Tamandua tetradactyla: one gene and its partners. The protein of the gene in region 3 purifies or fractionates together with the protein of the main gene of each other region. This does not show direct contact. Links are inferred from orthologs where the notes say so. Each region holds a gene or a part of one and is shown on either strand. Other genes may lie near its edges.

Region 1 (8,009 bases), on a different chromosome or scaffold from region 3:
GGTTCACGTAGAGCTGGTGATTATGTGTCCCTATCACACTTACCCTCTACTCTCCCAGAAAAAAAGATAAAAGAGTATGTAAACTTAGGAAAGAAATTCCACTCTATCCTATTACCTCTCAGGAAGTCCCTCCTGTTGTCTAAATCAGATCCTTTGTGCTGCCGACTGAGTTAGTAGAAACAGCAAGGCCCAGAAGCAATGCACAACTTGAGCTGGGGACTTCTGGGGGAGGCCAGCTGTGAGCCAGACAAGCCTCCCTCCTGGCTGAATGTGTGGAGCAGCAGAGAGGACTTCGAAGGCAGAAAGGCCTGGGCTCAAACCCTCAATGGCTGAATGCCAGTGGACAAGTTATTTAATCTCTCCTAGTCAGTTTCCTCCTCTGCAAAATGGGAATAACAATCCCTACTTTAGGAGTATCTTTGGGAAAGTCAAATGAGATTATGCATATAAATCTCCGGACAAATACCAGGGACCCAACAAAGGTCCAGTCAACCAGCAAGGCTGATGGGTTCCACCCCTTTATTAATATCTCTCAGTTCCACCTGGGCCTCAGTTCAGATCTCATCTTCTCTCAGGCCTGTCCCAGGCTTCTCACTGGTCTTCCTGCTTCCAGGCCGGTCCCTCCCACTTACCCTCTCTGCTACTGCCAAACGCATGTCTCTGAAACAAATATCTACTCCCATCCCTCCCCTGCCCCACACTCTTCTCTGACTCACCACTGACTTCAGGAGAAAATCCCTCTCCCTTGTTTGACGTTCCAGGCTGCTGATGACTGGCCTGTGTTTACCTCTTACAGCTCATCTATCATAGCTAACCCAACCACCAGACCACGGGTGTTGCTTCATGCCTCCAAACCTTTGCACATTCTGCACCCATGGCCAGGAATGACTTCCGCCTCCCGGGCCCCTCATCCTTCCAGTTGAAGCTCAGTAGCTCCAATACCGCCTCCTTCCCAGGAAAGTTTCCCGTATCATGCCCTCTGCCTAGGGCAGGATTGGGGACTCCTTCTTAGGCATCCCCCAACACATGTAACCCTGCATTATAATCACCTGCTCTGCCCTCAATCCTCTGGGGGCACAGTAGAGTCCTTCATGTCTGAGCCCCAGCCCCTGGTACCCAGAAGGCACTCAGTCAGCATTTGTCGACTGAATGTGGGCTTGATCCCAGTGTGTACCTGCCTGTACGGTACCATCGAGGCACTGTCTCATCCCCTCTTTCCCATTTAGTCCGAGAGGCCAGTGGCAGTTTCTAATTAATTTTTGTCTTCACTTTCAAATGGGGGAGTGTGATTCAAGGAGGAGGGATGGATGCAATGACTTCTGATGCTTAAAGTATTAGATATTTGCAATTTCCTCTTCTAAGTCATAAGTCAAGTAGAATCCCGTGGTTTACAGAACCAGGCAGTCTATTATCTATTTTGCTCTTCTCTTCCAAATTCCTCAGGAAACCCATCTGGAAAGGTGGAGAGGGGCCTCCAGGGGCTGCAGGGGTGCCTGTGGGGGACGGCAGGGGTTTAGCCAGTCCTGAGCTCCACGCTGCAAGCAGTAGTCTTACCCTGCCCAGTGAATCCCGTAAACTGAGGAGAGCCCTGAGATGGAAGAAAAATGGGAGAACCAAGGTCCAGAAGGGTGAAGGCAATCACCCAAGGTCCCCCCAGTGAGTTAAAGGAATATCAGGGGAGAGTCACGGAAAAAGTCCTGGCCTCAGAGACAGGATTTCCAACAGACGCCTTTGGGGCCTGGCTGCCCTTGGTGGCCCCATCCTGCTGACAATCCATGACAAGCCAGTGACACTTCTCCCCAAGACGCAAAGAGGCAGACCAAGGCCCAAGAGGGCTGAGTCACCCTGATGGTGAGGCAGGAGCAGCAGAGGAGAGGAGCCGTGGCTCCTGACTCCCACTCCGCCCTCGGGAAGGAAAGCCAGACCTCACCATTCAGAGGGTCTTTGCTCCTGGGAAGATGCACGTGGCGCAGAAGGGAGTCTGAGGGCAGAGACCTGGGCCATAGGGCTGGCCAGGCTGGCTGAAACAGGGAGCGTCCATCGCGTCGAAAGCAGGCTTCTCGTGATCTTCTGCAGTTGCCTACAAAGCCGGAACCCCCATGCACACAGCAGAGAACCCCACCCTGGCCCCCAAATCCAGGACCCCTGAGGGACTTGGCAGTGCCCAAAGTGAGCCACAGAAAAATGGACCAAGGGGGTTCCAGCTTTTGCCCTATCTCTGACCCTTCTTAACCATAAGCAAGTCAGGTGGCCTCTCAGTGCTCTAGTTCCTCTACCAGAAAACAGGAAGAGGAAAATTAACCTTCCAGAGCCGTCAAGAGGATGGCTGGGGAACAGTTTGTAAATGTTAAGAGGATATGTTATCTCTGAGCCTCGGTGTCTTCTTCCAGAAATTGGAAATGATTTCTGGAGCACCTTTTTCAGCTGTTGAGAGAATCTCAGATGGCAGTGGGTGAGAAATCACTTTGATGGTGGTCCCAAAATACCATGACAGGGCCATTTCTCTCCAGTCTATTAGCACATTCAGGGAAAAAATGTGCCTGTGCATCTTCAATCTCCAAACTATGCCTTGTACATAGTAGGCTCTCGATAAATGATCATTGGAAACAAGGAGAGAGGGGGTAGGGTGGAGCAAGGGAAAGGAGAAGGGAGATCAGAGACAAGGAACACAAGGATAGGACAAGATAAAGAAAGAAACAAATGAAAGAGCGGCTTGCAGAAGCAGTAAGAGGAGGAGACAAGGGAGGGGCTTCTGTCAGAACTTAAGGGGGTGAGAAGAATTAAGGACAGAACCAGGGAGACAGAGGTGAGTACCGGACCGGGGCTTGTCTGGGTCCCACGGAGCAGTCTCTGCGGGTCGCCTTGCCCCTGCATCCTCTCCCCTTTTGCCCCAGTTTCCCATTTCAGAAGCATGGCCACTCCCTTTCCAGTCAAAGTCTTTCAGGGCAGGCTGCTCAGAAGACAGGAGCCCCTTTCCCCACCTCCAGCTCAAAACAAATCCTGGCCAGCCACGCCAGGCCTCGGGAACCAAAGGGAAAGGAAATAGAGCCCATGGATCCTGCTTTCCCCAGGCTCCCCCACCCCGTGTGTGTGTGTGTGTGTGTGTGTGTGTGTGTGTGTGTGTGTGTGTGTGTGTGTGTGTGTGTGTTTCCGTGTCTCACCGTGCGGGGACTGGAGGGAGCGGGTCAGCAGTCCCGAGATCTGTTAGCTTGTTCCCACGGGGCGCCAGTCTGTGTGGGTGTTATTCTGATGTGTGTCTGCATGGGTCAGTGTTGTTGTGGTCTGGTGTTGGTGAGATATGTGCCAGCACAAGTGAGCGTGTCAGCGAAGGTAACACTGTGTGTGTGCCTGCAGGAGTGTTTATGACAATTAATGCAAGAGACTATGTATACCGGTGTGCGCCCACATGCATGTGCCAGCATGGGGGTATGTTGGCGTGTGTACCCGTGGATGCCAACAGTATGAATATGTTGACAATGAGTGTATACTGGTGTGTGCACCAAGGGTGTCACTGTATGGGACGAATGTCTGGTCGTGAATGTCAGTGTGTGTGCCGGCATGAGATCGCCCGAGAATGAGTGTGCCCTGTGTACCCACGAGTGTGTGTGCCATTGTGTGTCAACCTGCCCCCGTGAGTCCCTGCGTCTGCCCGCCAGTGCTGGGTGTCTGCGAAGGAGTGAGTGTGTGTGAGTGTGTTCCGGCGTGGGGCCGACCTGTCCTCGCCCTTTGGGTACCCTGGCCCACGGCCTCTCCCGGGGACCACACGAAAGACCTCGGGCGGAGGAGAGCTGGGAGCCAGACCACGGCAGTCCTCGGGTGGCCGCGAACGCAGCGCCAGGACGCGGACTCGAGGCCCCGCCAGAGCTCTCGCCCAGGTCGGCCAAACGCGTGCCGGGCCGGGCCGTCGCCCGCACTCACCGTGTCCCTTTGTCGCCCATGGTCCGCGGCGGCCGCAGGGAGGTCCGCGGCGTCAGCGTCCAGCCTGGAAAATCCCCGGCCGGCAGGAGGAGCGCCCGCCAGCCCGCTCCCGGCTCCCTGCTCCGCCTCCTCGGCTCGACCCGCAGCCGCCGCCGCCGCCCCCGCCCCCGCCCCCGGTCCCCGCCCGCCGCCCCGCTGCGCCGCGCAGCGCCAGGGCAGCGGCCAGGGGCGTGGAACCGTGCGTGCGTGTATGTGTGTGTGTGTGTGTGTGTGTGTGTGTGTGCGCGCGCGCGCGCGCGAATGTGACTGTCTGTCTGTGCCTGTGTCTGCCTCTGTGTGTGTGCGCGAAGGCTCGAGCGCAGGGCGGTGGTACGGGTCAAGGCTCCGAGGTCGGCATTTGGGGATATACATGGGCATATGTCCAGCTGTATGCCTCTCTGTGTGCGTGTGTACGTGTGTATGTGAGGGAGCACGCTGGATTGGGTAAACGTGCGCCTGTGTGCACGCGAGGGTGTGTGCCGGTGCGGGTGCGTGGGTACGGCTGTGTGCACGGGCCTATTATAGAGTGTATTTGCGTGGTTAGAGGGGTGTGCACGTTTTTGTGCAGTTGTGCGTGTGTGCGCACGCCGTGGGTGCGAGCGCACTCTCTTGCGCACACCGGGGGCAGCCTTTGCGAGTGTCGGTGGGTGGAAGCCTCAGGTCTGCCGAGCCCCGGGCCAAACCCCTGGCGGCGTCCGGATGGTAGTGGCTGGGGTTAGGGGTCGGTGAGACTCCGGGCGCCTGGCAGGGCCCTCGCCCTAGGCACCAGCCCCTCCCTCGCTTCTGGAGAGATAATAACGAACAGCCCTACAGGGACAGGAAAAAGAGGAGGAAGGGGCAGGAGAAGGCAGTGTCGACGCTGGAGAACTGATAAGGGTGGGGAGACAGGAGGCGAGCCGGGGCTTCGAGTGGCAGCCCAGGAAGAGGAAGCTGTGAGAAGGGGAGAAATGGAGTACAGGAAGGGGACATAGAGCTGGCCTGCTGCGTGCTTGGCAGTCTAGCCTCGAAAGCACCCGGGCCCAGCTCCACCACCTGCCGGGGGTGACCCTGGACATCAGCCCTGTCATAGCCAATTTCCAAACCTGTAAAGTGGGAATATTAATACCAGCCTGGAGAATTGTTCCTAGGAGTTGTTCCTAGATTGAAAGCACTCACTTGTGTTTGCTGAACTCCCCGAGTGCCTGGCATGCAGTAGGTGCCCAGTAAATGTTAGGCCACTCTCTCCAGGCTCCTTGGTGTCCTGTGAAATGCTGGCTGACATCCTTCTTTGCCTAAGGTCCCTGACTGCTTTGCAGTGTGAGGTCTTCCCTTCAGGTCACTGCTGGGATTTGGTCTAATTGACCCTGATGGATCCCTAATATCGGAGTATTACTGAGAGAAAAGGAAGCTGTAATTTACTCTGATGTGATTGCAGGTCTGTAAACATCTCCTGTAATTATGTTCATATATACATATATATATATATAGTTGAGTAATGATATCCCAGTATCGTTCAACATAATTACTGTAATTATGTCCATATTGGGGGAGGGGGAGGAATGGGCAGGCAGGGTGGTCCAAGGTCAGGGTCAAAGCAATGTTAGGAGCCAAGAGAGCGTGGATTAGGGCCCAGAACCCCCCTCCCTCCTTGGCCTCTGGGCTCCAACCTCACCCCCACAGCGGGAGGAGAGGAAGTCACCTGCTGGGTGTGGGAGACAGGGAGCGGGAGACAGGGAGCATGAGAGGAGCAGACCAGAGGCCTCCTTGATGACAGGAGGTTCACTCTGTGAGCCAGAGAGGACCCGAGCCAGAATGGAGAGGCCAGGGCCTGCCAGCCTCTGCACCCCAGTTTCTCCACCTATAAACACTCATTCACTCAACCCAGAGGATCCTCTGTAGTTCTGCCCATGCTAGTGCCCAAATCACAAGTGCAAATAAGTTCAGTGAGTCCAGGGAGCTGCATCTGATGGTTCCAGGTACTCACTGCCCTGCACAGCTTTTCCCAGGTTGGAAAGCATGGCGTGAGCATTCTAGGGACGCCAAACGGATCGCTAGACTGTGGAGGCAGGCATTCAAGATGTCACGTATGTCCCACTAGCCTGTAAAATTCCCAAGAGAGGATGTGGTGTGTCTGGCACTAGTTAGCACCCACAATTAGGTGAGATAAATGCTCTTTACCCTATTTTATAAATGAGCAAACTGATGCTCAGAGAAGCTAAGGAATTTGCCTGAGTCCACAGCCTCCTCTGGACCTTGGCCTCTGACCTCCCTTCCTCTGGCCCTTCCCGAAGGGGAGTTAATTCATAGGAAAGCCAGAATTTGACCTTTGATTATAGCCTTTATTCAATAGCTTTTGTTTAAGTTTTCTTAAATTTTATTTTTATTTTTTAAAGGAGTTGTAGGTTTACAGAAAAATCCTTATTCTACCCTCACTCATGCATCTTTCCCTATTATTAACATTTTGCACTAGCATAGTACATTTGTTACAATTGATGAACCAATATTATTATATTAAATTATCGACTGAAGTCCATAGTTTACATTAGGATTCACTCATTGTACTGTACAGTTCTATGGGGGGGGTTAGTATTTATTTATTGTAGTAACATACCTCTGCTGGTTTGAAATTGTTACGTATCCCAGAAAAAGCCAAGTTCATTTAATCCATTTTGGTAGGGGCAGACCTATTGTGGGTGGGATCTCTTGGTGAGGTGGTTTCCATTTAGATGTAACCCGGCTCATTCAAGGTGGGTCTTAACCCTTCACTGGAGTCCTTTATGAGAGGAAAAAAGACAGGAAAAGCCCAGAGAGCTCAAAGAGAGAAATACCAAGAGGGCTTGGAGAGAAAAGCTCTGGGAGAAACAAGAAAGGACACACAGAAACTGAAAGAGCCAGAACCTGCAAGCAGTGAAACCCGGGAGAGAAGGATCAGCAGCCGCTGGCCCTGTGCTTTCCCGTGTGACAGAGGAACCAGGATGTCAGCAGCCTTTCTTCAGAGAAGCTATTGTCTTGTTGATGTCTTAATTGGGACCTTTTCATGGCCTTAGAACTGTAAATATGTAAACTAATAAATCCCATTGTAAAAGCCAACCCATTTCTAGTATATTGCATTCCAGCAGTTTTAGCCAAGGGAGACAATACTATTTCCCATTTTAACCACTTGCAGGAATACAGTTCAGTGGCATTAATTACACTCACTGTGCTACAATCACCACCACCCATTACAAAACTTTAAACAGTACCCATTAAACATTAACTCCCCATTCCCCATCCCACCCCTGGTACTCTGTAATTTTCTTTCTAGCTCTATGAATTTGGATATTCTAGTTATTCCATATAAGTGAAATCATTCAATCTTTATCCTTTGGTAGCCGGGTTATTTCACTCAACATGCTGTATGTCATCAATGTTGTAGCATGTATCAGAAATTCTTTCCTTTTTACTGCTAAATAATATTCCATTCTATGTATAAGCCACCTTTTGTTTATCCATTCATCCATTGATGGACATTTATATGTTAGTTTCTTGACTGCTAAAACAAATACCATGCAATGGACTGGCTTAAACAAATGGGAATTTATTGGTGCACAGTTTCGAGGCTAGAAGTCCAAAGTCGAGGTATGAGCAAGGCTAATGCTTTCTCCCTGAAGACTGGGGCATTCTGGGGCTGGCTGCCGGCAATCCTTGGTCCTTGGCTTTTTCTGTCTTCTCCTGTCTCTTCTGGATTCTGCTGACTTACAGCTTCTTGCTTCTTCCCATGACTCTCTCTTTCTGTGGCTTTCTTGATGAGGTTTCCATATGAGGACTGACACCCATCCTGCTTCAGTTGGGCCATACCTTACCGAGGCAGCCTCATCAAAAAGTCCTATTTAAAATGGATTCACCCACAGGGATGGATTAAGATTAAGAACATGTTTTTCTGGAGTATATAAATCCAAGATACCACCCTTGGATTGTTTCTGCTTTCTGACTTTTGTGAATAATGCTGCTAGGAACATCTGTATGCAAATATCTGTTCACATCGCTGCTTTCAATTCTCTGTGGTATATACCTGGAGTAGAATTGCCAAATAA
Region 2 (7,241 bases), on a different chromosome or scaffold from region 3:
CACAGGGCACAAGGAGCGGATGAATACAACTTGACCAACGTCACCCTGCAAGGGGCCAAGCTGGGGCTGGAGCCAGACAACCGAGCACCGCCCTGCTCCACACCTGCCTCCCAGCAAGGCTTCCCATGGCTCGGTTGCCCAGAGCAGTCCCCGGGCCCAGGGCGGTCCCCTGCCGCCCCCACCTGTGTGTGAGCAGAAGGAAACGGTGCCTTGCCCAACAGAGGAAGTTCCTGGGCGGGGTTGAATGGGGGCAGGAGGGGGAGCAATGCAGCCCAAGTCCCTGCAGGGGGCCACGCGCGCTGGGGGCGGGCAGGGCCTGCAGCCCCCTCCCACCGCAGCGGGCATGGCCTTCAGGCGCTGGCGGCCGCGGGCCCACTGGGTGAGTCAGCCCCACACAGCCCCACACTCAGCCCGGAGGCCACTTGCCGGCAGCCACCCCACACAGCCAGCTGGGAACTCAGCTCCCATCGGCCCCCACTCGGGCCGGGCTTCCTGTGCATTGAGGCGGGCGGCGGGACATCCCCTCGCCTCCCGCCTCCAGGCGTGGCACCGACAGGCCCCTGCAGGCCAGGGCTGTCAGCTACCCAGGGCTGCCCCAGGTGTCAGCCAGGACACAGCCCCGGGTTACAGTCTCAGGTAGGCAGTGGCAGCTGGACACGGGGGCTCCTGCCCTGTCAGAGAGGGAGTATGGGGTGTGCCTGGGAGCCTGGGCCCCAGTCAGTCCTCCAGGCCCAGGATGGGCACCAGGCAACGCAGAGGCGTGAGGGTGAAACACTTGGATAAGCTGGGGCCAAACACTCCCAGGTCTGCTGGAATTCCTCCGAGACGGTGAGCAGTAACCCCTGCGGGACCTGGATGGGATGGGGCGGGCATGGGGACTCCCCACTGGCCTCAGCTTTGCCTGTCAAATGGGTCGGGTTGCAGAGAGCTCGCAACGTGCCAACTGTGAAGGGCTGCGCACACAAGGCAGCTCCGTGTCTCACTGGTCTGGAGGAGACGCCCGCTGGCACAGGGGTGTGACCAGGGGAGGGCTCTCCCAGCAGGCTCAGCTCCAGCTGCCAGCACAGGAATGGGAGGTGGGGGCAGAGCTGGGAGAGTCCTCTGGAGACCCCTAACACCTCTGAGCCTCAGTCTCCTCTGTAAAATGGGGCTGGGTAGAGGGAATAAAGGAATAAAGGAGACAATGCACAGCACATAGGAAAAAGCTCTGAAGGCAGGAGCCTTATCATTTTTGGTGAGGGGGTGTTATGGCTCTCCTTCCCTGGACCCCAAGCAGGTTGGCAGGGTCCCTGGGCCTCAGGGAGATACTGGCCCTCCTCCCCACCCACCTCAAGCTGCAGATCAGCCAATACCCCAAGCTGCAAATTCATCCTGGCCCTCTCTACAGAGTGGCCCAGAGAGAGTAATGCCAGCCCTGAGGTTACACAGCACACGGGTCAAACAGTGCCCCCCCAGCAGTGCTGCCCCTCACACCCGTCACCCCTCTCCCTTCACAAGTCTGTAAGTGTAACTTTTATTTCAGCATGCAAGAATTAAAAAGGCCTCCAAATACGAACACCTCCACCAGAGAGGTGGCGGACCTGCCCTGGGGCGCACAGCACACCCATGACCCACCACACCAGTACCTAGCTCCAGAGTAGAGAAGCACCTTATTTACGACCCAGCGGTCTGTAAATACGAGGCCTGAGCGGCCGGCGCCCCGCCCCCGCCCCCGCGAGTGCCTCCCGGGTTACTCACCGCGGTTGGCCAATGGTCAGGGCTCCGGTGTCCGCTTACGTAAGACGCCAGAGGTACCGCCCTGTCCGTCCGCCACCGGCCCACACCCTCTGGGACCCCACGCGGCCTCCCGCCCGACCATGCCGTGAGGCCTGCCAGGCCGAAGCTCTTCCACAAGGACACCACCACACTCCAAGCCGCGGGCTCTGCCGAGCAGCTCATGGCAGCACCCATGTTTTTAAAAGCATTCCGTACCCGTGAGCTCACGTCACACTCGTGATGCGCACGCAAGAAGGTATGATTACGCCCGCTTTACAGATGGGGAAACTGAGGCCCAAGGGTGGTAAAGGGGCTTGCTGGGCCGAGGCGGCCCCTCCCCACAGCCGCGCCCGGTGTGGAGCCCTCTCATACCACCCCGCCTGCCCAGACTCTGACATGCCCAAAACATCCTTTCCTGTAACTGCGGGAAAAAAAATCCCCTTTCGCCTTCCAGGTTCCGTGCCCCCCCACCTCCCCATGACAAGTCCTGCCGCCGCCACAGCCGCCGGCTCACAGACCACTTCCAAAAACGCCCGGCGGGGACCCAGGACCGGGGGCGGCCGGACAGGCCGCAGTACGGACCCAAGCCCTGGACAGGGGTTGGAGGCCCTGGGCCCGCGAAGGACCGGGAAGAGAGTGCGCGGCCGGCGGGGGGACACCACCGTCTCCCGAAGGGACAGGCAAGCTTCCCGGCCGCGGCTGCAGAACGGAGCGCGGGGTCTGCGGAGACGCCCCACGCAGGGCAGCCGCAGATGCGGCAAAGTGGGCTCCAAACTGGTGGGCTGGGGCGAGCTGAGGCGCCCAGACCCCAGGACGGGGGAGTCCAGCGAGTTCCCCAGCAAGGGCGCAGACGAGGTAGGGGTCCGAGTTCGACTAGCCCGGAGACAGTCTGGGGCCCGCGGCGGGAGTCGACGGGGGTCACTGGGGGTCAGTGGGCCACCCGGCTCCTCCTGGCCCAGCCTGGGGGGCAGCGTGAGGCTCCCTCCCCACGCGCGCGGGGGCATCGAAACGAGGTGTCGGCCCGGGAGGCCTCGGCCAGGCAGCGGCCCCGCGGCCTCCGGGGGTCCGAGTGAGGTCGCAGGCTGGGCGGGGGCGGCCGGGGCGAGGCAGAGCAGGTCAGCCAGAGGGCAGGCCCGACCCCGGAAGGGCTCGCCGGCAGGCCCAGCCGGGCTCAAGCCGGGCGCTCGTACCTTTGGACGCGGGCACGCCGGCGGGGGTGCTGGAGGCGGGTGGCTCCATGGCGCGGGGAGCCGGCGGCGGGACTAAGCCAGGGGGCGGCGGGCTCGAGCGGCGCGGCGCGGGCTCATGGCTGCGGGCGAGCGGCCGGGCGCGGCGGCAGCGAGGCGGGGCGCGGGCAGCGCGGGAGTCAGACTGGGCAGCGCAGCGCGCCGGGCCCGACGGCGCCCGCCCCCGGCCCCGCCCCGCGCGCCGATTGGCCCGCCTGCCCCCGGGGCCCGCCCAGAAGCAGGACCCGCCCACTGCCCGTCAAGTCCGCCTCCCGCCGGGAAGCCCGGGCCCCTTCAGGCCCCGCCCCCGCCCGCATGCATCAGACCCCGCCCCGGGTCGGGGCCTCAGCGCGCGCCCCCATTTGCCCGCAACCCCAGTGGAGGCCGTACGTGGGCTGGCCCGGGGTGTGTGACCTGGAAAAGCTCTGAGAGGCCCCGGAGCATCGGGCGAGCCCCACAGGGACAGACGAAAGTGCCCCTGCGATGAACTCAGGTCAGACCCCGACTTCCCCCCTTCCCGGGGCGGGGGGCAAGACTGGGGACGACCCTGCGCCTCGGCCGCTGGCCAGGCCGGTCCACGTGCGCTGGCCGTGCTGTAGATGCCCGCGGGGTGGGTGCGGAGGCCCTGCCCGAGGTCTCACCCTGGCGTTCCCTGGACATTGGGTCAGCGCCGCTAAGACAGAGCATTCCCTCTGCGGCATTCCCCGAGCCTCTGTGCTCTGCAGCCCCTGGCCAGGCTGGAGTCGGGATCAATGACTCAGATGGAGAGTGAGGGGGGCTGGCTGTGGGCCCATCCGGGGCCTCCTTGGGGAGGGAGCAGATGCCATGACCCGTCGGTGGCACAGGGGCTGACCTCTGTAAAACAAGATGATCCCAGCGCCTTGCCCACACAGCTGTGAAAGAACCAGAGCAGATAAGGGGTGAGTGAGCCTTATAATTATCACCATTTGCTTCCTGCATCTCTTGCTCACCCTTTCCAGGCAGTGGGATGGAAAGTCATGAGATCTGGACTCAGACGGCACAGCTTCAAATCCCAAAGACCTTGGATGAGTCCCTGAGCAGGTCCGTGCCTCTGTTTACTTGTCTGTGCCATGGGGCGTTGAGGCCTTCCTGAAAGCATCCCATGCTTGGAAGTGCCTGCCTCAGAGGCCTGCTTGGCACGCACGCAGGCATGCACACACACACACATGCCCAGGAAATGTGAATTCATAACGACCTCCTACAGGAAGACACCCCGGCTTTACCACTCCTGGGTGTCCAAGTGGCCCAAAGCCCTCTGTCCCAAATGGACCAAGTGAGCCTGGCCTAGTCGTTTCACCTCATGGTCTTCTGTCCATCCCCTGGAAAATGGGCACCTGTGCGGCTCTCTTCCCACCAGGCATCAAACCTGGTCCGTTGGAGTTTCTTGGGACCAGCCCTGCCGGCCACTCTCTCCCCCTTGTCCACTCTGCTCCTTGGCATGTCCTAGGGCATGTGCAAGGTCCATGCCTAGAACATATCCTGCCCTCCTCCCGGGGCTCTGGGGGCTTCATCTCACGTAGCCCAAGTCACGTGACCCTCCCAGCCCTGTTCCAGTCTCTGCACAGCCCTGGCCACCAGTGCCTCACTTGCCGGCTCTGTTTGACTCCCACATCCCTCTAGAACATCTGCCCTCCTCTGCCCATCTCATTCCCACTGCAGAGCCCAAGGCTAGGCACAGAGCAGGTGCTGAAAGCTGGGGAATGGACACAGGGAGGACGGACAGAACACACAGACACCATCCAGGGACTCTTGTCCCACCCCCAGCCCCCACATGAATCAGATACAGCCCTGGCCTTCACAGAGTTAATGCATTAGTCAGGGAGCCTGACACATGGCTCAAGAATCACAAAACTCCATGTGGGGTGCTATAAATAGACACATGAGCAAAGCCCAGGAAGGTGCCACAACCCCAGCTGGGTGGGGTCAGGGAAGGCTCCTTGGAGGAGGTGACTTTGAGACCAGCCTTTTCAGGACCGTAGGAGCTTGCCAGGCCCAGAAGCAAGGGTAGGCACCTCTGAGGGTCTGCAAAGGGCAAGCTGGGAGGCATGAATGCCAAGAGCTGAGTGAGGGCCAGGCAGGGTTCATGAGCATCAGGCCAGGTCAGGCGGGCCAGGGGAGCTTCTAGTCTCCTCTTCCAGCACGGTTGACTGTGGCTGGGGTCTCGACAACCACTGGAAACCAGAAACTCCAGAGGGGCATTTGAAGTGGGTCCAAGTGGCCTCCTGCACTGAGGTCTAGAAAAATCCCAAACACCCCTCTCTATATCTGCAGGGAAAGTAAGACTCAGGAAGGGAGGGTGTGTGACCTAAGTCAGGACGTGGCGGCACCTGCGGTGACAGAGGGCTAGAGCGAGAAGATGGCCAAACCTGGATCCCGGCAGCTCAGTTATTCCTTTGGCCACCCATTCATTCGTTCATTCCGCATATATTTGCTGTGGGCCTGGCACTGCGGGTAGGCAGTGAGACACCACTTCCTGCCCTCTGGGAGGTGCGCTCTGGTGGGTGAGGCCGACAAGCAACATACACAAGTTAAATGACAGTGTCAGATGGTGGTGAGGACTTTGGAGGAAATTAGGGGTTGGGGGTTGTGCCGGGGCTTGGGGGCTCAGGAAAGGCCTCCCTGGAAGGTAAAGGTTAAGCAGCGATTCCCCCTGTGTGTGTGTGTGTGTGTTGGGGGGCAATAAGGTGCCTGGGGGTGGGGCATCCCAGCAAAGGAAAGGCCGGTGCAAAGGGCCTGCGGCGGGAGCAGGGCTACTTGCTCGGGAATGGCAGAGCCCAGCACGCTGCGGGGGCAGGCGACGGGACCCCGTCTCACCTCTCGGTCCCCCTTGCATACGTGTTCACTCACACCCCTTCCCCACGCGTGCCAGCCCACGCGCCCCAATGACACGCGCGCGCACTCACCCACACAGGGCTGCACGCGCGTGCTCAGGCTTGCCGAGTGGCCGCCCTGGCGCGCGCACGCTCCCATGCGCACGAGCCGGCCCCGCCTCCGCGGGCGGCGCCTCCACGGCGCCCTCTGGCCACCAGGCTCGGCACTGCGGGCGGCCCCCCAATCCCGCGGCTGGACCCACCCCGTCAGGCCCCTGCCTGACCTGCCCTGACCTCAGCCCGCCTCCGGGCCGTACACACCGCACGAAGAGAGTACTGCCCACAGCGCTGACTGTTCACCCCTGCCATGGCGTCTGGGGGAGAAACTTCCAGCACTTTGTCCTTCACCCTCGGGGCCCCCCCAACCTCCGCAGACGTCCACCCGAGGCGGCCCCAACCCCGCCCGTCCTGCCCCCAGCCCGCCCCCGAGCCCCCACACCCCAGCCTTTGCTTGCATGGGCGGTTCCCTCCTCTGGAAATGCCCCTCCCTGCCGCCACTTGAAGGCCTGATTCCAAGGTCAGAAGTGGGGGCTCCCTGACACCCTGCGTTCATCGCCTCTTGGTCACCCTCTCGATCAGCGCCCACCCGCCCGGCGGCCCCCCCCCCCCGTTAGACGCCCCCCCCCGAAAGCAGGGGCTGCTGCTGGCTCCCCCACCCGGGCTGGAGGTGGCACTTTGTCCCCAGGAGCTTGGGGGCAAATGGGAGCCTTTTGTCAGGGGGCCGCGTGGAGGGCAAAGGCGGGAGGGCCGAGGGACAGCAGTGTACCTGCTTCACTCAGCCGGACCGCGCTCTAAAGCCTAAGGTTGCAGCCACAGGGGTCAGGATCATGTCATTGGAAGCAGCAGGGGCCACCTCTAAAGCCCCCACTAGGCGCTGATCCCCTCGCGGGCCCCGTGACTGCTGCATGGGGCACTGCGTCACCCTGAATCAGCTGTGGAATGGAGGAAAACATGGAACCACCCTGCTGCTGCCCATCCTATAATTATTTCCGTGTAACATGAGGAAAAGGAAGCTCATAGAAGGTGCCGGAACCTGTCCAAGGCCAGGCATACTGAGGCAGAAGCACCTAAGCAAACTCCAGCCTACGGGGCTGAAGACTCGGCCTCCCTTGCCTCCGCCTTCTAAGCGGCCTTGAAAGATGGGGAAACCTCTCATCTGAGCAACACAAGTCACCTTCAAGCTCACTCAGCCACTTTCCGGGAAAACGTCGGCTCTTTGCTCTGACAGCCCTGTGTCCCGCCCATCTGGGGCTCCCTGGGGTGACAGACCCCCTGAGGCTGCCCCCTGCTGGACAGTTACAGGCCAGGAGCAGAACTCCCCTGCTGCTGGAATCCTCCAGAATGTCTCTGGGTGTGGCGAGGCAGGGAC
Region 3 (7,673 bases):
TGCAAAACTTAATCCACATTTCAAGTTTGGATGTTTTTTGTTCTGGTTTACTCAAATGGCTGAGGGTAGGGTTGCTGCCTACATAAGGGCAATTTTCCTTCTAGATCATGCTCACTTCCATGGTATGTCATCCTTATTTTTTTTTAACTTTTTTTATTAATTAAAAAAATTAACAAAACATTTAGAAATCATTCCATTCTACATATATAATCAGTAATTCTTAATATCATCACATAGTTGCATATTCATCATTTCTTAGTACATTTGCATCGATTTAGAAAAAGAAATAAAATGATAATAGAGAAAAAAAAAACTATACGTACCATACCCCTTACCCCTCGCTTTCATTTACCACTATTTCAAACTGAGTTTATTCTAACATTTGTTCCCCCTATTATTTATTTTTATTCCATATGTTCTACTCTTCTGTTGATACAGTAGCTAAAAGGAGCATCAGACATAAGGTTTTCACATTCGCAAAGTCTCATTGTGAAAGCTATATCATTGTTCAATCATTATCAAGAAACATGGCTACTGGAACACAGCACTACATTTTCAGGCAATTCCCTCCAGCCTCTCCACTACATCTTGAACAACAAGGTGATATCTACTTAATGCATAAGAATAACCTCCAGGATAACCTCTAGACTCTGTTTGGAATCTCTCAGCCATTGACACTTTGTCTCATTTTACTCTTCCCCCTTTTGGCGGAGAAGTTTCTCTCAATCCCTTGATGTTAATTCTCAGCTCATTCTAGGGTTTTCCTCAGTCCTTTGATGAGTCTCAGCTTATTCCAGGATCTTTGTCCCACGTTGCCAGGAAGGTCCATACCCCTGGGAGTCATGTCCCACGCAGAGAGGGGGAGGGTGGTGAGACTGCTCATCATATTGGCTGGAGAGAGAGGCCACATCTGAGCAACAAAAGAGGCTCTCTTGGGTGTCATCCTTAATTTCATCCTTCCTGTTGCTGGCAAAAATGCAGCCTCTCAGCTGCCTGATCCAGACCCATAAAAACACACAGGCCTGAAACAGCCCTGAGTGGGCTCACTGGATCCCTGTCATCTCTTCCAGGATCTGGGTCTCTATCCTCTCTGCCAGATATGGGATCCCTGTTGTCTATTCCATAATCTGGATTCCTGTACTCCCTTCCAGAATCTGGATCCCAGTCCCCTATTCCATAATCTGGATCTCTGTTCTTTTTCTGGCATCTGCATCCCTGTCCTCTCTTCCATCATCCTGGTCCCTGTCGTGTCTTCTGGAATCTTGATTCCTGCCCTTTTTTCCAGAATCAGGTCCTTGTCTCTTCTAGAATTTGGATCCCTGTCTGCTCTTCCAGAATCTGGACAAATATTTCCTTATTGTCTTGTGAGTTCTTTGACATCTTTATGTATATATTTAAAATTGTATCTGCTTTCTGCAGTGCAAGGGTTGATCAGAATGATCCAATCTATCATTATCCAGAAGTAGAAATCTCTCCAGCTCTTTATGAGGGAAACTCTTTACTATACCTGCAGTCGTTCTCAAAGGAGTCCTGAATCCCTTCTCCAAGTGGTGGTGGGTGGACTCTATTTCTGACCAGAAAATTTCCGCTCTGCTGCTATGCCTTCCTAAGTGTAAACATATCATAGATTATGATATAGTTCTATCATTTATTGATGGTGATCATAATCCTTGTTAAGAGATTCTAGAGTTGCCTGCTATTTGTGGTAGAGTCTAAGGAATAGACTCAATTTTCCTGGATTCTTTTTTTATCCCAAACCAGAATGCCAAGTTAAAGGTTTGCAATGAGAAATCCAGTCCCTTAGGTTCTTTATATTTATTAGTATTATTTATATTCTGATTTATGTTATTTTAGATTCCTTCTGAAATGCCTTCATTGAATTAATACTTAATATATTCCTGTTTTTTCAAATAGTAAATAAAAATTTTGAAGAACACATATATTTTTACAAATCCACACTCAATTATGTAGTATTTCCAGTGTTCTTTAAACTCAATTTGATGTCATAAAATTTCTTTTTTAGAATTCAATGTCAGGAAAAGTTTGGACTCTTCCTATCAATATGTGTAATTCTGAGTGTGTGTGTGTTTAATTTTGACAGCTGAAAAATCCCACCCAGAGTGAAGTTTAGCAATCAATTGAACTTAATTTATCCCAGGTGCTTGGTACTTCTTTTACTGGCTTCTTTAACTTGTGATAATTAAAAATTTTTCTTACCCTATTTTATAAGTGACCTTAAATACTTTTCCGAGTTAAGAATATACTGGATTCTCACTTATCTCATCTGAAGACGCAATGCAGGAAGCAAACTTTCTTTGTTTAAATAAAGCCGAGTTAGCTAGGAGGCCCTTGCCCATTTCAGGTTTAAAATTCAATTTTGCCTCTTCAAGAACAATGTAGAAAGCCCAAGGCAGAAAGTAATTTTGCTTGTGTCCATCACTTCTATATACGTTGTCCTTTCGGACTAGAAAAAGGTGTTCCTTTTAGACCCACAAATTGCAAAATGCATACCCTGTGGGTGGTTCAATGAGAAAATGTTTTCCTTTCTCCAGACCCACACTCTGACCCAGGCTTGGCAAGCTGAGCAGGGCTGAGTTTCAGCAGCCCATGTGCCCCCTCAGCCTGGTTCCCCTGACTACATGCAGATCCAGAATTTCAGTCATAATGTGAACTATGTGAAATTGTGCATAATTGATGACAGTAGCCTTTTTAGACTTTATTAGAATGGCCCTAATGAATTTCCAGTTAAGTATTTTTGGCCATCAACAGGTGGAGAATCATCAACTCACAGGAATTTGGAGGTTTGGCAAGTTGTTGGAAGTATTAAAAGATACATATCTGTTAGTAGCCCATCAACCTTTTGTTTTAGTACTATCGCTGATTCACTCAATATCTGCGTTACTTCCTAAAGTTGAATGTGGACCATTTAGATACTAGTTGATATCAAGAATATAAAGTTTCTTTAATAAAAATTCACTCCTGTCATTTTACATGCCTTTAAAAAAAATCTAACCTCACTTTGCTTCCTCGTGGACACAACTGTCTAGCTTCTAGATTCTCATAAATACTATTTTCTTCCTTACTTTATTGCTTGACTACTCAATTGTTTTGTTTTTATGTTCAGGTATGTAATGTAATTCACATTTCCTTCTGCCTTTTTCATAGGACACTATGCTTCACTAATCTCTGTTCCTGAGATGGGAAGTCCAAAACCCATGACTTTATTGCCTTCACTGACTGTCCTAACACACACAGCATTCTGAAGAAGTTCTCAGAGAACACAGCCTTTGTCTTACACATCCGTTTTTGTTTTGTTTATTTTTGCAAGGGCAAGCACCAGGAATCGAACCACGTCTCTGGCATGGCAGGGGAGAACTCTGCTTGCTGAGCCACCATGGCCTGCCCTACACATCCGTTTTTGCTCCCCAAATGAGCAGGTGCTTTAACATTATTATTATTATTTGAGGCTCTTTCACAATCCAGGCACTTTACTGAGGGGAAATAAAATAGAATAGGTCATCTAATTTTCCTCCAGGGTGCAGATGATCACTTGCCGAGTCGGTGGATCTTAAGTACATGGTGTTTTGAGGGGACCCTTCCAGATCCTAAATGAGAATAGTTCGTTCAGCATCTGGAGTTATCAGGGACTTACTAGTGATTGCAAGCACACTAAGGAAAAATTTTGAGTGGACAGCGAGTACCAGGGGCCGACTTGGTAAATTTAGTTCTAGCCGGCCACTGCGTGCTACCGTCACGCCAACACCGACGTCCGGGTAGGGCCCGAGCTGCCGGGCGCGTGTGAACTCACTCCTCCCGCCTTGCCGCAGGCGCCGCGCGCGGGCCCGGGAGACCCGCGGAGCCAGTCCGCTGGGCGCCGGAGGGGGGCGCCGCGGGCGCGGGCATCGTTGCCAGTACTGCCGGGGCCGGCTCGGGGGCCCAGGGAGTGGCGAGAGAGACTTTTTTGCGCCATCCTGCGGCCCCGTGCGCTCAGAGATCTGCCACCCCCAGCCGTCCCTGGCAGGGCCCGGTTGGCGGCGGCGGGGGCCTCGGGGACGGGACTCGGTCCCGGCGGCCCGCTCGGTTTCGGCCGGCCTTGGGCTTCCCGGCAGCGCCCTCCCCCGGGACGCCCGGACTTCTGCGCCGCGACGAGTGGGCGGCGGGACTCCAGCGGCGAGGCTGGCGCTCGGCGCCGAGATCGGAAGACAGCGAGGCGAGGGGAGGAGGAGGAAATAGAGCCGATGCGGGGCGGCCGCTGCCGGGGAGGGAGGCGGGTCCTTTGGGCGGCCTCAGGGCCGGGCTGCCGCGCACCGAGCCCGCCCGCGCGCCCGGGCTCTCCAGGTAGCGCTGCACCCGAGGGCCCGGCGCTGGCACGCACGCAGGGGCGCACCGGGCCGGGGAGGCGCCGTCTCCTGCGCGCCCAGCCCTCCCGGCTCCCCGCCCTCGTCCTCTGAGCCCGGCGGCGGGCAGGCGACGCGGCCACGGAGGCGCCGAGGAGGGGCGTCCCCGCGGGGGACAGGGCGCCCGAGCGCAGGCGGCGGCGCGGCGGGGACGGCGATGGCAGCGCCCTAGCCCGGCGGGCGCGTAGCAGCCCCGAGCTGCGGCTGGCGGGACGGGGCGGCGCGGCCCCCGCGACCCCGCCGGGCGACATGAGCGCCGAGGCGGGAGAGGGCATCACCTTCTCCGTGCCGCCCTTCGGTCCCTCGGACTTCGGCGTCCCAGCCGAGGGCGGCGGCGGAGGCGGCGGCGGCCGGCGGGGAGGAGCGGCCCCAGAGAGCGAGGACGACGTGCCGCTGCCGCCCGCGGGCAGCTTCTGGAACGTGGAGAGCGCCGCCGCCCCGGGCACCGGCTGTCCCGCCGCTGGCGCCCTTCGGAGCCGGGGCAACCCCGGGGGCTCGGGCGGTCGCCGCACCTCGGTGGTATACGTGATCAATGAAGCGAGCCAGGGCCAGCTGGTGGTGGCCGAGAGCGAGGCCCTGCAGAGCCTGCGGGAGGCGTGCGAGGCGGTGGGCGCCACGCTGGAGACCCTGCACTTTGGCAAACTGGACTTCGGGGAGACCACGGTGCTGGACCGCTTTTACAATGCAGGTGCGTGTGTCACCCCTCCCGGTCGTCGCGGCCGCTGGCCACCTTTCCCCGCGCGGCGCCTACCCCCTGCCTCCCCCCCCCACACACACCGGAGGGGACAATTTTTATTTTCTGCTGGGCAGGAAGCGAGCTTCCTGCTCACTGACATCTTCCCCCACCTTGGGGACAGCGAGTGGCGCTGCGTGTATGCCCCGGGTGCCCGCCGCTTGTGCAAGAGCCGGCGTGCACTTGTGCAAGAGCCCGACGCGCCCGGCCACGGTCTGCGCGGCAGCGCTGGGCACCATGTGCTCGTCTCGAAGAACTTCGAGAAAGGCGAGAGTTTTGCCCCTGTCCCACCTCCGTTGAGTGACTCTCTCTCTTCCCTTGGCTTTGGCTCTGTTTTCCCTCTGCATCTACCTGTGACCCTTTTAGATGACGCCGTTGCTCGCCGGGCTCTGTGCAGTTTTGGGAGCTCAGAAAACATCAGGATCACAGGTAGCTGTGGGCAGAGCTGTCTAAATGAATTCGCGGGTCAAGTCCTGCCTTTCCCAACTCATTTTTCCAACAGCAGGTTTTAGTGCTTTGAATTTCCCAGCTGATATCAATATGAACTTTCAGATAATTACTTCCCAAAGTACTAACTTTGTCATTTGCATTAAACTGGTGTGATATCTTTATTAGGGTCTGTTATTTATGACGTCATCTATCATGATGGGTATTTTTCAAGTTAAATAGTTAATATTTTCACATAGTCTAAAGCTGATATGCTATCTTGACGACAGATTTGATTGGCCATCAAAGTGTTTGCTAGCATAATCCATGAAAAAAAAATTTACTTTTTCAACCTATCGCCGATATCAGTGACTGAAAAGAATTACCTATGGGTTAGCAAGTGTGAGGAAATAATGCCATACTATTGAAGTGGATTTTTTAGGATCCTTTACAATCAATGTTGAGAATATATGCATACTTATTTTTATAATCATGGGTGGGAAAATTGGATTTAATGATGACTTCACAACACTAAGTTTCTTGCATTTGTACTCTTAAAAGGTTTTATATTCCAATCTTGTTTTTCGGTTCAGATTCTATTTAGTCTCTTCAAAACACCTGAAGTAGGCATATGTCAGGCTTGAAATTCAGCCAAAGCCGAATATTTTAAGAACAAGAAGAACTTCATGGGAAGGAAGCAAGACTAAATAAAGTGGGGCTTTCTGTTTCTGGCGTTTTTTTCCAATCTTGAGCTTCATAGCTGAATTTGACTGTATATTATGTATAATAGTTTGGGTCTTTGGGTGGCTTATTACAAAAATTATATAAACATAACTTTTCTAAAATTATAGCACTCTCATCTTTAAGTTATAATTTGGAAGATGTCAGTGAAGCTTCAAAGAACTGAAGATAAGGGAGAAAAGCATCTGACTATTTACTGGAACCTATTTTCATTGCACTGATTGGGTATTTTTTTTAAACTTTTTTATTGTAAAATATATCATATATGCAAAGTAAAGAAAGGAAAAAAAGCAATAATTTTCAAAGCACACTTCAACAAGTAGTTACAGAACAGATCCCAGAGTTTATCATGGGCTACCATTTCACTATCTCAGATTTTTCCTTCTAACTGCTCCAAAATGCTGGAGACTAGAAGGAATATTAATATAGTGATTCAGCAGTCAGCAATCCCATTTTCTCTGTTATATCTCTTCCTTCTCTTTAATCCTCTCAATCTATAGGGATCTCTGGGCAATGTCCATTCTGATTTTTTCATGTTGAGAAGGGGTGTCCACACTAAAGGAGAGGGGAATGTAATTAAATTGATCATCCTAGAGAGGCTGGTCCATCTGAGTTTCAGAATTTAACTGACCTAACAACCCTGCTGGGATTATATGTTCCAAGAAGGCTAACCTAGTGTATGGAAGTTTTATAGAGTCAGTTCGCACTCTGGGTATTCTTAAGAGTCAACAGGAGTAATGTTGGTTGGGGGATAAACCATGGCCGTTAGTACTATTTAGCTGAAGCTTAGAATTAAGTTTCCTAAGGGCATGCCTCAAAATCTAGGTATTGGCCTATTTTCTTGAGAGTCCCCAGTGGTTGGAAGGGTACCCGGGGTTCTCAGATGGGAGAGTTTAACAGTACCATATGTATATTTATATGTTTTTTTCCCTTCGGACCCTCAAGGGACTCTACCAACACTTTTTAATTATCAGCCCACCATAGTCTGCAATGTGTCCTGGTATTGTATTAAGTTATATGGAATTACAAGGCCTCGTTCACGTTCTGGACTCCAGGAATTTGAGTTGTTTAAATGAGCTATCCAGAGAGATTGATTTAGATGATGTGTTATAGAAAATTTAGGTTCCAGACATAATAAACCTCTCTGCCTTTGGTCTCATACAGTAGGTGAAGGTCTAGAGTGCATACAGTATCATCTTTTACCCTGTAATCTCATTTACCTTAGACCCAGCCAGACTGGCTTTATTTTACACTCTAATTGAGGCCTGATCTCTTTTTCAGTTACTTTAATTGTTATTTTGTATAATGATGCTAACTTTCAGGGCTGTAGCTCTCCATTTCTGGGTCCTAAGTGTCACAGAGCTGCTCAGAGTTTC

What was found. The genes of interacting proteins can lie anywhere in the genome.
Region 1: the proteins of MAP3K5 (region 3) and ARRB1 purify together in Homo sapiens (affinity purification with western blotting; 3 studies listed by BioGRID and IntAct, with this or other methods). This does not show direct contact. The link is inferred for Tamandua tetradactyla from reciprocal best matches to the Homo sapiens genes MAP3K5 and ARRB1.
Region 2: the proteins of MAP3K5 (region 3) and MAP2K3 purify together in Homo sapiens (co-immunoprecipitation; 4 studies listed by BioGRID and IntAct, with this or other methods). This does not show direct contact. The link is inferred for Tamandua tetradactyla from reciprocal best matches to the Homo sapiens genes MAP3K5 and MAP2K3.

The regions. Positions count from the first base shown.
Region 1 is NC_135334.1:70,219,983-70,227,991, reverse strand, and holds the start of ARRB1 (beta-arrestin-1), read right to left. Parts: upstream 3,078-8,009; 5' UTR 2,005-3,077; coding exon 1,931-2,004; intron 1-1,930. UniProt on the Homo sapiens protein: Functions in regulating agonist-mediated G-protein coupled receptor (GPCR) signaling by mediating both receptor desensitization and resensitization processes.
Region 2 is NC_135332.1:157,407-164,647, forward strand, and holds the start of MAP2K3 (dual specificity mitogen-activated protein kinase kinase 3), read right to left. Parts: upstream 3,078-7,241; 5' UTR 2,995-3,077; coding exon 2,946-2,994; intron 2,012-2,945; coding exon of another isoform or gene 1,996-2,011; exon of another isoform or gene 1,803-1,995; intron 1-1,802. UniProt on the Homo sapiens protein: Dual specificity kinase. Is activated by cytokines and environmental stress in vivo. Catalyzes the concomitant phosphorylation of a threonine and a tyrosine residue in the MAP kinase p38.
Region 3 is NC_135351.1:37,024,167-37,031,839, reverse strand, and holds the start of MAP3K5 (mitogen-activated protein kinase kinase kinase 5), read left to right. Parts: upstream 1-4,646; coding exon 4,647-5,085; intron 5,086-7,673. UniProt on the Homo sapiens protein: Serine/threonine kinase which acts as an essential component of the MAP kinase signal transduction pathway. Plays an important role in the cascades of cellular responses evoked by changes in the environment.